3 linked regions of the Cricetulus griseus genome follow. The protein of the gene in region 1 purifies or fractionates together with the protein of each later gene. This does not show direct contact. Links are inferred from orthologs where the notes say so. Each region holds a gene or a part of one and is shown in the gene's direction. Other genes may lie near its edges.

Region 1 (4,108 bases):
ACTGGTCTAACTTGTAGTCCTTCTGGCCCAACCACAAGGCTCTGGTGGTCATGTTCTGTCTGTATACCGCTGAGAAAGATTTCTATTGGCCATCCCATGCTCACCCCTACTCCCTATCTATATACCTAGTTCCTCACTAACCCATTCTCCATTCTCATCTCTGTGGCTGGGAGAATTTTTAAATAGGAGGATCAGATTTGCAGCCATATGATGTGTGTATTAAGATATATGTATATTATCCTTATTTTACAATTGTAGGAAGAATACAAGAGACACCAGAAGTTTAAGGAGAACGCATTATTACACATCATCAGTGGGGTATGTGGGGCAGTGACAGGGAGATCCCAGGAGCTTGGGGACAGCTAGTTGAGGTGGCAATCTCCGGGTTTAGTAAAATACCCTCCTTCCCTCTCCCTCTGCCTCTCTCCCTCTCTCTCTCACTTCCCAAGTGCTGGAATTAAAGGCTCCCCTTGCCCTGCCACAGAGAGTTCAATTACACAGGGCTTCACTAACCACAACCTCCAAGGAACATAAATGTTTTGGGTTTTTTTTGTTGTTGTTGTTGTTGGTTTTGGTTTTTGTTTGTTTGATTGGTTTTGTTGGTCTAGCACTGCATCCCTGGAGCCTAGGACTGTGGCAGCCCAGTCCTTATGCTAAAGAAGAGGTGACTGAAAACAAACACTCTGTCTTATGCTGCAGAGGAACCCGGCTACTGTAACTGCCTCTTCCTTACTCCCCCTACCTCTGGAGCATGGCTGCCTGCCCAGCTTTGACTGTGGCTCTTTGTCCCTTCCTTCCTCCCAACCCAAACCATATTTGGTCTCTGCTCAGGGTCCTGGAAGCACTGTGCGTGCAGGTGTTCCCCACCCCGTCTCTTTCCACACTGTGATCCGGACGATGATTCCTTCCCATGTCCACAGTGCTGACTCGTCTCTACTGGTGCTCCTATCACTGCTTTCACAATGAGCAGAAAAATCTCTTCAGGTATCAGAGCACAGCCCTCAACCAGCTGCCTGCTTCCCACTACCTCAGAGAGAAGGCCAAATATAACTCATGACAACTGCTTTTGCCATGAAGAGGCGTGTCATCAATTGGGTTGTTCTTATCTGTGAGGGCACCTGGTTTAGCTTCTCTCTGCCAGAAGCTAAGTCTGTTTGGCTTCCTCACCCCCATGTTCATGTCACACATGTCTGAAATGCCCTTCCTGCCTTCTCTTTCCAAAACACAGGCCCCACCTTCTTGAGTGCAGATGTTTTCCAGAGGACTCACTTCCTCTCGAGCCTGCCTGACTCAGCTCTGCCAGTTTCAAGATCGCTAATTATTAAATAGTCTTTCATGCTTACCTCAACCTTCACCCACCTCCTCCTCTCCTCCCTTAGTGACTATGATGTAACGCTGTCTGGCATCGGTGTTCCTGGTATCTGGTTGAATGTCTGAGTACCTATAAGATCCGGAAGTAGCCAAACAACAAAAAAAATGGATGATGAGGTAAGACTAGACCAGAATCATATCTGAGTCTTATCTAGCTACTTACTACATGGGTGACCCTCAGCAAGCTAATCTTTTTGGACCTCTGATTCATGCATGTTTGTCAGGAGAGCTAAAAATCATAACTATATTATTATTTACTGAGCAATTATTCAGTATAGTCATTATTCAAAGAACTTCTTTGTGTAGCCCTTACTGTCCTGGAACTTGCTCTGTAGACCGGGCTGGCTTCAAACTCACAGGGATACTCCTGCCTCTGCCTCCCTAGTACTGAGATTAAAGGCATATGCACTTTATTTAATCTTCACATCAACTCGAACATATAAATAAAATGTTTCTTCTGTTACTGAGTTTTTTTGAGACTATGTGGCAAAAACTAACCTGGAACTCCTTTACTAATCCAGGTTGGCCTCAACCTTGACATTTTTTTCTCTCCTCCCAAGTACCAGGGTTACAGGTGTTCTCCAAGACATCCAGCTTTTTTATTTTCTCATTTTGAAAGAGCATCTTACTGCATAGCACAGGCTGGCTTCAAACGCAGGATCCTCCTGCCCCAACCTCCCAAGGGCTTGGATTAGAGGTGTGACCCATCATGTTAGGAAGAGTCATGTTTTAAATCACTCTGCTTCTACCTCCGTGTGTGTGTGTGTGTGTGTGTGTGTGTGTGTGTGTGTGTGTGTGTGTGTGTGTTCATATGCCTCACATATATACAGAGCTCCCATCACAATCATAGCACCAGGAGCAAAGATAACCAGTAACTTACGTATGTTTTCCCCACTGGGACTGATGTATACAAGTCCAGGAAAAATCATCTTTTTTCCTCTAAAATAAGTGACAGGACCTAGAAAAAGACTGGGGACATAGTGAGTACTTTAAGTACATTTCCAGGGCACAAAAGGTGAATTGATAGGGGAGGGGACATGGTTGGGATGAAAACCATTTCAACAACCTTAGTGGGACCTGGAATGGGGAGGACATTAACAGAAAAGCAGAGAGAGAGAACAGTGCCATTCTGGACAACAATGAGAAGAAAGCTAGCATTCGGGAGAGATGGACATGACAGTATCTTTTAGCGTTTGTAGTTTGAAATACCTCTAGAACATACTCAGTTTCTTTTTTTCATTTTCTTGTTGTTGTTTGTTTGTTTGTTTTTGGTTTTTTGTTTTTTGGGTTTTTTTGTTTTGTTTTGTTTTGTTTTGTTTTGTTTTTTTTGAAACAGGGTTTCTCTGTATAGATTTGGAGGCTCTCCTGGAACCAGCTCCTGGAACCAGGCTGGTCTCGAACTCACAGAGATCTGCCTGCCTCTGCCTCCTGAGTGCTGGACTAAAGGCGTGCACCACCGCCCGGCCTCGTTTCTTAAAAATCAGAAATCTCACGATTACTTAAACTGGCCTTAAACTCTATAGAGTTTAAGTGGTTCTCAACCTGTGGGTCACCAACCCTTTGGGGGTCGCATAGCAGCTGTTCTGCAGATCAGATATTTCTATTATGACTCATAACAGTAGTAAATTACAGTTATGAAGTGGCAATGAAATCACTTTATGTCTGGGGATCACCACATGGGGAACTGTATCAAAGCGTTAGGAAGGTTGAGAACTTCCTGCATCAACCTCCTGAGAAGCTGATATTACAAGCACCACCACGGCCCCTGGCTTTTTCCAATGGGCTTCTGAATGTGTCAACGCATACGTATACTGATATGTAATTATTATTATCATTATCATTATGCATGTGGACGGACATCTGGGCTAGAGACTTGGGTACCATCACCTTCCCGATAGCAACCATGACTGTGGATGAAATTAAGAGAGCAGGCAGGAACCTGAGAGTTTTTGACAGCCGAAATTCGCTGGTGTCAGGTTGTTGGGGAAACTTCTTCAACTAGGTTGCAGTTTGAGTTGGTAACGGGAAGCCTTTCCATGTCATTCACACATTCGCCAGCCACCTTTGCTCACACACTCCTAGGCGCTAACAAGAACTGGATGACACACACGCAGCTCCCTCCCCGAGCCTGCAGGGGGCGCCGCGCCTCCCCTCACACGGCGCGAAGCCTCTCTAGCCAGGCTGGAACTCGGTGGCAGCGCCGGGCTGCACGTCCCGACACCTCTTCCCAGAGAAGGTGGGTTCGCCCGCGGGGGAGAGGGTGCTGGGATCAGCGGGACGGGCGGGCACTGCTCTCTCCGGGTGCCTCGGCTCGGGCCCGGCCTACCGAAGCTCCGGTTGTGGTGAGTGCCTCCGCCTGATCTCGCAGTTCCAGCCGCGGGACCTCTTCACTCAGGCCCGCGGGCAGCTTCCGGGAAACACCTGGGGGGCGGGGCTGTGTGGGCGGGGTTCCGTGATTGACATCTTTCTTCGCAGACTGAACGAACTACCTCAGGACCCCTCCTCTGGACCCTTCCTCTGTCCCCGACGCTGAGCCGACACCATGGTGAGTCCAGCCCCCTGCCCCTGCATGCCCACGCCCTCACCCCGCGTGGCTTTCTGTGGGGCTTCTGCAAGTCTGCCCCTGCAAGACAACCTGCATTTTTATCCCCCTACCCATCCCCGTAGCATGGGCGCCTGAAGGTGAAGACGTCTGAAGAGCAGGCAGAAGCCAAAAGGCTAGAACGGGAGCAGAAGC
Region 2 (3,970 bases), on another chromosome or scaffold:
ACTATAAGCACCTGAGACACTAGACAGTATAAAGGATTGTCACACTACTGCATCTTGCATTTGAATTATTTTGAATTCTTGGAAAATAATTAGACGAATAATTCCCAAGATTAGAAAGTACTTTCCTTAATTCAATGCAACCCTCCCCTCTCTTTTTGCTTTAGTATTTTCAGAAAGGCAAGCATTTTAAATAAGGTAGAGTGGTAGAGTGGGAGGTGACAGACCTTGAAAATACTCATGAGAGCTATGTTAACTGTTTGGCATAGACAACCTTTAGCTCACTTATCAATTATGACCACTTCTATATAAGTCTATTTTACTTTAATCATTTCTCCAGCATCTTCGTAGGAGAAAGTTGTTTGGTCTCCTCTTATTTTGGTTGGAAATCAGATTGTGAAACAAAAGATTTATTAAGCATCTACTATTTTTTATTATTCTTTCACAGTCTTTTCTCTGCCTCCTTTTGAAACTTACATTGCTAGGCAGCTGTTTGAACTGATTAGAGAATACAGAAGGAATCCCATTTTGTGGAAACTAGGCAAAGGGATTTTTATTTGGTTGGTTCCCCCTGCCCCCCCACCCCCACTGGAAATACACAGAATATAGTTGGACAGTATTATAATGAAGTGAAAATCGATGTCTCTTGTTCCAAAAATAAAAATACAGACATGCTAGGGGTAAGAGTTTTCCTGGCATGAATGAAAATCTCCTTTGTTCAAAATGAATTGAATTTGAATTTCACTCCTCCTTGAATGTCTCTGACCAAATTTTTGTTCGGTAATTGTCAAGGGGTGTACTCCTCATGCTCGACGAGTCGAATACTTACATTTCTTTTCCGTATCAAACCTCCATGACAAATAAGCTAGTTCACTGAAGACTGTAAAATGAATAGAACTTTTACCACTCTCGTTAACATTTCAAATACTTTATCTTTGCCACTTTCCTGGACCCTTCACCCTAGAACTACAACACCCAGAATGCACTGTTTTTCCTTCCGCCTTCTACAGAGAGTCGGCCTGAGGAATTCACAGCCACAAACAAAGGTCACATGACACGTTTCCTGTCAAGATGGCGGATAATCTCCCTTCGGAGTTTGATGTGATCGTAATAGGGACGGGTATGTGTGGCCGTGGTTTTTCCTAGACAAAATTTAGGAAATAATTCTCGCCTTTTAGTTTCTCTTTCAGTGGCGATGGTTGGCGAGAAACGGCGGGGGTCGAGCCTGGGAGGGAGGAGGCAAAGGAAGTGAGGTAGCCTGGAGTCAGCGCGGGACTTGGCAGCTCCAGGGAGGGGCTTGGAACCTCGGTGTTTTGCGCCATTTGAGTAGGGGTCGATCTGGTCGATGCCGATTGCTGAGGTTGGTTGCTGCGGTGATTCCTGTTAATTTCCTAGAGGAGGGTGGGTTTGCAGTGTCATGAGAATGGAGGGTCGGTATTTGATCAATGGAGACGCCATTGGCATACTATAATTGCCTCTTTCCCTCGTTGATTTCAAGGTTATATTCCCCATCGTTTTCTGTCGCCATCTCATAGGGCTTTTTCCATATACTTACATGATTCTAGGATACGTTGCAGCTCAGATGTAGCTTAATTTGCAGTTAATAAGAATGATGCTCAGTCTCCCCCCCCCCCCCCCCCATGTATTTCTATTACGGGAAAGGAAGTGGACTCCTTTTTTATGTGTTGAGTACCCTAAGAGCCTTTTCCCCACTGAGGTAGCCATTATTCTTGCATTCTGGTATTTAAGGCATCCTTGTTTATGATGCAGAAAGGAAGCATATTGCTTTCTTTCACCCATCTATACACCACAACTAGATGTGCCCAGAATAAGCCCCAATGTTCATTCCAGATCCTGTGCCTGACCTTAGCTTCTCCTTGTTTTTCCATCATTAGTTCTCCATGTTTTGGGTGGAGTCAGAAATCCTCTTCCGCTTCTAGTTGATTAGTTAATCCTACAACACTTGTCAGCAATTAACATTTCTTTTCTTAATTATAAGGGATGTAGTTTGCATAAGATAAAAGAGATAGTGGGTGGGTTTTTCTGCTGTCTGTAGAATGTGGTAGGCAGCACAAGCTTTGGTGAATGGGACTCTGTCCATTGTATTAATTTAATTTGCTCTGTTCCCATAGAGTAAGAATAGCCATATTTCCAGGTTTAGAGTAAAAACAATAGCAACTCGTTTTCAAATGTTTGTCATTTCCTAATCAATAGACTAAGCAATTCACAAAATTCCAACAACAAACTTGCTCGAATGGATATTCTCTTCAATACACAGAAGAGGAGAAGCAGCCTGGAAGTCTAACTTGCCAAAGTCACACTGCTGGTAAATATCCAAAGACCAGCAGTATTCAAGAAATGGAATCACTTTTTATTTACTCTCAAAATTGTACAATGTTAGCAGAAATAAGTGGGAAAACTTATTCTAGATCATGCTAATTCAATTTCCACAATTTTGAATATAAGGAGCTTAGATCAAATAGCCTTTAAAGGTGTTATCCAAACACAAATTCTCATATTGTAGATATACCGGAGTAATTAATTGTTCTTAGAAGAGTGGAGGTGTGTTTATTCCCAGTCTGAAGATTACTACCACAATAGCTAACCTGGTTGTAACTGCAATGAACAGATGTTGGATGACACAGTAGACTATTCACTTCTCCCAGTCTGCTCTAAAACAACACCATCCATTTTTAGAGTAAGGTGTTTTTTTTTTCCCCGTTTTGTTTTTTAAATTTTACTTGAATTCTACTTGATTTGGGTGATATGGTAACTTTTATTAAATGTATTAATTCTTTTAGACACATTCAAAAGTGGAAACATTTGGTGAAAGTCATTTTTCAAATAAAATGATTCTGACACTTTCAATCATTTCTTGTAATTGAACTGATTTTTAAAGCATTTTGCTTTCTTTCTGAAATACTTCATTGAAGTAGACTTCAAATGTGTTGGCATTGTTACATTAATTCGTAGATAACTTACAGGAAAAGCAGTGTTTCATAACTTCAGTTCTGTTGACAAAAGCAAAATGAAGTATATCATTATCAGAAACAAGTAAAGAACTAGGCTGTGAGTTATAGTTCCCCTTAAGCATGTTTCTAGTTAAAATATCACCAAGAGACAATTGCTTCATCAAGTAGAATCATCCAAGAATATTGTAAATGTCTACCTACCTTAAATAGTTTTTTATTTTTTCATTTTTGCATGACCTGGTATAAAGGTTTCCTTTAAAGTCATATTTTCAAGATAAGGGAAAATAATATCAGAATACCCAAAGAAAGAAAGTTAAGATACAGCACTTGAACTATGGAGGAATAGATTAAAGAGGTAAAACCAATTGGAATCTCAATAGGGAGGAAAGATGGTCATAAACAAATGATTAGAATGTGGTCTTTGGCTTGGGTACACTATTGTCATTTCAGAATAGTTTGGCATTTAAAAATAATTTTATCAATAATTTTGTGGGTTGTGGAAAAGTTACCATTGGGTGCAGGTTAAAAATTATCCTAGCAACAAATTGTATGATCTCCAGCAAGGCCAAAAAGTCACAAGGGAGGAAGAAATATTAGGTATAAAGGATATATGATAACATTGACATATGCCATATATAGGAGCATAATTCAGCTCCTAACTTGGAATATATTCTTATTTTAGATAGAATTCTAGCTTGCTTAAAATGCACTATAACCAACTCATTTTGAAGGACAGACTCTTATCACCCGTGAAGAATATGTTTGGCTGGTGCTATTAGATGCACAGCTGACTGAAAACTCAGAGCTCTATAAGGAAGGGAATGTACATGAAGTGGCATAATGCCTTGACATGTATTAGTGTAAACACATACACACACACACACACACACACACACACACACACACACACACACAATCTTTTTTTGTGGTATTTAGTTACTATAGAGAAACTGCTCTCCTGTGCTTGTAATACTTACTGTATTGCCTTTTCTTAGAAACCT
Region 3 (4,253 bases), on another chromosome or scaffold:
GTGCTTATAACCTGCTTCCTGCCCCACTGGCCCCACTGCCAGCCTCAGCCTAGAGGAAGTGAATACATGTTTACACTTTAGTCCTCATAGATTCTGTCTCCCTCTTTACAACCTGTTAGAAGAAGGGCGAGTAAGTAATTCACCTATTCTTACATATTTACACAAGTAGACTAAGCAATTGCTTCATTCTGGGCTCTCATCCTGGCTTCTCAAAGAAAGCTAAAAATAAGTAGAATCCCTGATAATCTTGGTCCGAGGTTTCTACCAGCTGGGCTTGTTAGGATCACTGTTTCAGTTAAACTGACAGGTCGGACCAGCTACTTAGTGAAGTTCGTGTAAATTCCATTTGTATGGCTTGTTTCGTAAATATCAGAAGTATCATTCTCTTAGGTGTACCTGTATCTAGAGGTCAGCAGATTTAACGGTAGTGAAAAGTAGAGGCCAAGGAACACTTGCTGCTGCTATGCATGGTGAGCCATAAAAGGCTGGCAGTGGGGTGTGTGAGTGTGCCAGCCTGCCGACTTCCAGGTGAGTATGTCCAAGGGAACAGCCTCCAGCCACACCCAGCATCACATGGAGATAGCCAGCATGTGATGGGAGGGGACAGGAGAGTCCTTTCCCATTTCTTCTTTAGAAATGAAAACATGTTTAGAGAGAGATTCGTAGTTGCAGAGACAGTCTGGCAAAATGTAAATGTCTCCTCACTTAGGTGTTATGAATAGATGTTATTTATATTGAAATGGTTTAATACAGGAAACCAAGAACTTTAACTTACACATGTACTTTGACACAGAAAATGTTACAAAACTGTTTCCCCTCAGGCCTGTTCTTTTACATACCTACATACATTAAATGCCAGTTATTGAATTAATTCTCTTGTAATGTCTGGATGTCTCATGTATCTCCTGCAAGATCCTTAGGGTAGTTCAGGATGTAAAATCTCCTATGCAGCTGTCTGGGGTTACCCGCAAATGTTCCTGACCACAGAAATATCTGCCATTATGTTGACATGCTCACTCAGCATAGTATGTTTGCATAAACACAGTAAAGCCACATATCTCTTTTAGTCTAAGCTCACAGTATTGTCCAGATACATAATTAACAATCAAATAATTGTATAATTTTTTTATTTTTTGTGGGATATTGTGTCCATGCCTTATGACAGTATTGCTGGGCTGTGGGGAGAGAATATATTAAATATCTTTTGTTCATTTTCAAGAACTAAGAAGACCTATGGGAAAGCATTTAATGACTTCTTTGGGTAGAGGTTTGTAGCCACGTTAACAAGTCAGACTCCGGTGGATTGAAACTGCTGTTGCATGAAATTGCTTTTATATTATTTATCATTGTGTTCTTTTCTTGAATTTTCTTCTTTCAGAGGAGAGTTCCAGTCACAAATGCACATGTGATGCATGGTAACATTTCCCGCTAAGGTGAAATGCAGAAATGAAAAGGACGCATCCATTTGAGTATTCTCACATACGATTACATGCATTATCGTGTTTTCCATGCTACTGACTTTTTTTTTAATGTTTAAAAATTGTTAAGCGTTAAACAGCTTAGGATTTGCAAACTCAGTGTTCCTGATTGAAGATCCCAAGTAGAGATTTTATTACAGCATAAATACCTCAGAGGAGCCCTCGACCTAGTTCCATACAGAGTTCTTTCATCAGCTGTGACCTGAAGTTTCAGCTCCTAGGATGGCAGACAAGCTTCCCACAGAGTTTGATGTAGTTATTATAGGGACAGGTTTGCCTGAGTCCATCCTGGCAGCTGCGTGTTCCAGAAGTGGACAGCGAGTTCTGCATGTTGACTCCAGAAGTTACTATGGAGGGAATTGGGCAAGTTTCAGCTTTACAGGCTTGCTGTCCTGGCTGAAGGACTATGAACAGAACCATGACAGCGAGGAAGACATGACTGCCTCGTGGCAAGACCTGATCCATGAAACGGAAGACGCCATCGCTCTTTGCAAGAAAGATGAGACTATTGAGAACACAGAAGTCTTCTGTTACGCCAGTCAAGATGATGGGGACAGCACTCAAGAGAACAATGCTCTGCAGAGAAGTCCTTCCCCAAAGGCATCTGCTACCCTGGCTGACTCTCTGGATTCTGCAGGTTTGCCCAAAGAAGGGTACACAGTATACTTTTCAAGCCACGAAGCACCTTCTAGACACACAGAGAGAAGTGATACGGAGCCGTCACCATCCTTAACTGATGCAGAGAACTCACTGGATCAAGAAAAGGATGGTGGCATCCAGACAGTTTCAGATGGAGATAAAGATGAAGACAAACCTGATATAGAAGACAACAGCAAACAACCAAAGAGAAACAGGATTACTTACCCTCAAATGATTAAGGAGAGCCGGAGATTTAATATTGACTTGGTATCGAAGCTGCTGTATTCTCAAGGATCATTGATTGATCTTCTCATCAAATCAAACGTTAGTCGTTACGCAGAATTTAAGAATGTCACTAGGATCCTTGCGTTTCGGGACGGGAAGGTAGAGCAGGTGCCTTGCTGCAGAGCAGATGTCTTTAGTAGTAAAGCGCTCACCGTGGTTGAGAAGAGAATGCTAATGAAATTCCTCACATTCTGTTTAGACTATGAACAGCATTCTGATGAATACCAAGACTTCAAACAATGCCCATTTTCTGAGTACCTAAAAACTAAAAAGTTAACGCCCAACCTCCAACATTTCATACTACACTCAATTGCAATGACATCAGAACCATCCTGCACTACGTTAGATGGTCTTAAAGCAACAAAAACCTTTCTTCAGTGTCTTGGACGGTTTGGCAACACTCCCTTTATATTTCCTTTATATGGCCAAGGAGAAATCCCCCAGTGTTTCTGCAGGATGTGTGCAGTGTTTGGTGGAATCTATTGTCTTCGCCATAAAGTCCAATGCCTTGTAGTTGATAAAGACTCTGGAAGATGTAAAGGGGTCATTGACCACTTTGGTCAGAGAATAAGTGCCAACTACTTTATTGTGGAGGACAGTTACCTTTCTAAGGAAACCTGTTCAAATGTGCAATATAAGCAGATCTCGAGGGCTGTGCTTATCACAGATCAGTCCATCCTAAAGACAGATTCAGACCATCAAATTTCCATTCTGGTAGTGCCTCCACTAGAGCCTGGAAGCAGCTCAATTCGGGTCATGGAGTTATGCTCATCAACCATGACGTGCATGAAGGACAGCTATCTGGTCCACCTGACCTGTGTTTCTTCAAAAACAGCCCGAGAAGACTTGGAACCAGTAGTTAAGCAGTTATTCATTCCTTTTGCAGAAGCAGAAACAGATGAGGAAGAACTCAGAAAACCAAGACTCTTGTGGGCCCTTTATTTTAATATGAGAGATTCCTCAGGAGTGAGCCGAAGCTCATACCATGGTTTACCTTCCAATGTGTACATCTGCTCTGGGCCTGACTGTGGACTGGGGAATGAGCATGCCGTTAAGCAAGCGGAAACACTGTTCCAGGAGATCTTTCCCAGTGAAGAGTTCTGCCCTCCTCCACCAAATCCAGAAGACATTATCTTTGAAGGTGAGGGTTAGCAAGCAGACATCCTGGAGTCAGTAACACACTTACCATCCAGCTAGACACCCCAAGGACACAGCAAGGACTTGTAAAGCACAGAACACCTTCGAAATTAAAACTGACTGGAAGTATTTTCATCCTGGTCTCACAATATTGTCACTGAAAGACAGCTGCCATTTGTGATAAGCGCTGTTCACATGTCTTCAACACCAAGACACTGGGTACCCTAATAGCTCTGCTAATCTGTCAGCATCTGGTTTGTGGTGACTCACCTTTTTCAGAATTGGCTACAGGAATCCAGAATCTCTGAATGTCATTAGCTTTATTTTACTTTTGGGTTTCACATTAGCGACATTGCTTAACTTAAGGTAGCATCGTCTTCTGTGTTCTGTGTTCAGGTTTTATCATTATCTACACAAAAATTAATATCCACAGAGTGCTACTACTGTTGCTACCACCTCGGGTGCACAGAGGAACACATAATCATAAACGGAGTGAGTTTTTTGTATATTATGTAAACACACAGGGCTGGTAGTAGGAGTAGCAGCTAATACAAGTATGGTAAAAAAGCAAGTGTTAGAAGCTTGGCCATGCATGAGCCTGTGGCTTGGGGCTGCTATTTACATGTGATTTCACCTGCTTTAACCTTTGTCACTGAGGAGGCAGTGAGACTACGCTAGCCTGCTACTTTACAAAAAAAAGTGCCCCTTAGTCGT

Evidence for each region.
Region 2: the proteins of Rabggta (region 1) and Chm purify together in Homo sapiens (co-immunoprecipitation; 4 studies listed by BioGRID and IntAct, counting the BioPlex papers as one, with this or other methods). This does not show direct contact. The link is inferred for Cricetulus griseus from reciprocal best matches to the Homo sapiens genes RABGGTA and CHM.
Region 3: the proteins of Rabggta (region 1) and Chml purify together in Homo sapiens (co-immunoprecipitation; 3 studies listed by BioGRID and IntAct, counting the BioPlex papers as one, with this or other methods). This does not show direct contact. The link is inferred for Cricetulus griseus from reciprocal best matches to the Homo sapiens genes RABGGTA and CHML.

Annotation. Positions count from the first base shown.
Region 1 is NW_023276807.1:210,918,569-210,922,676, reverse strand, and holds the start of Rabggta (geranylgeranyl transferase type-2 subunit alpha), read left to right. Parts: upstream 1-1,288; 5' UTR 1,289-1,488; intron 1,489-3,453; 5' UTR 3,454-3,607; exon of another isoform or gene 3,608-3,713; intron 3,714-3,846; 5' UTR 3,847-3,913; coding exon 3,914-3,916; intron 3,917-4,038; coding exon 4,039-4,108. UniProt on the Homo sapiens protein: Catalyzes the transfer of a geranylgeranyl moiety from geranylgeranyl diphosphate to both cysteines of Rab proteins with the C-terminal sequence -XXCC, -XCXC and -CCXX, such as RAB1A, RAB3A, RAB5A and RAB7A.
Region 2 is NC_048604.1:58,850,215-58,854,184, forward strand, and holds the start of Chm (rab proteins geranylgeranyltransferase component A 1), read left to right. Parts: upstream 1-1,153; 5' UTR 1,154-1,342; coding exon 1,343-1,357; intron 1,358-2,211; coding exon 2,212-2,323; intron 2,324-3,970. UniProt on the Homo sapiens protein: Substrate-binding subunit of the Rab geranylgeranyltransferase (GGTase) complex.
Region 3 is NC_048598.1:18,011,577-18,015,829, forward strand, and holds the start of Chml (rab proteins geranylgeranyltransferase component A 2), read left to right. Parts: upstream 1-1,451; 5' UTR 1,452-1,700; coding exon 1,701-3,554; 3' UTR 3,555-4,253. UniProt on the Homo sapiens protein: Substrate-binding subunit (component A) of the Rab geranylgeranyltransferase (GGTase) complex. Binds unprenylated Rab proteins and presents the substrate peptide to the catalytic component B.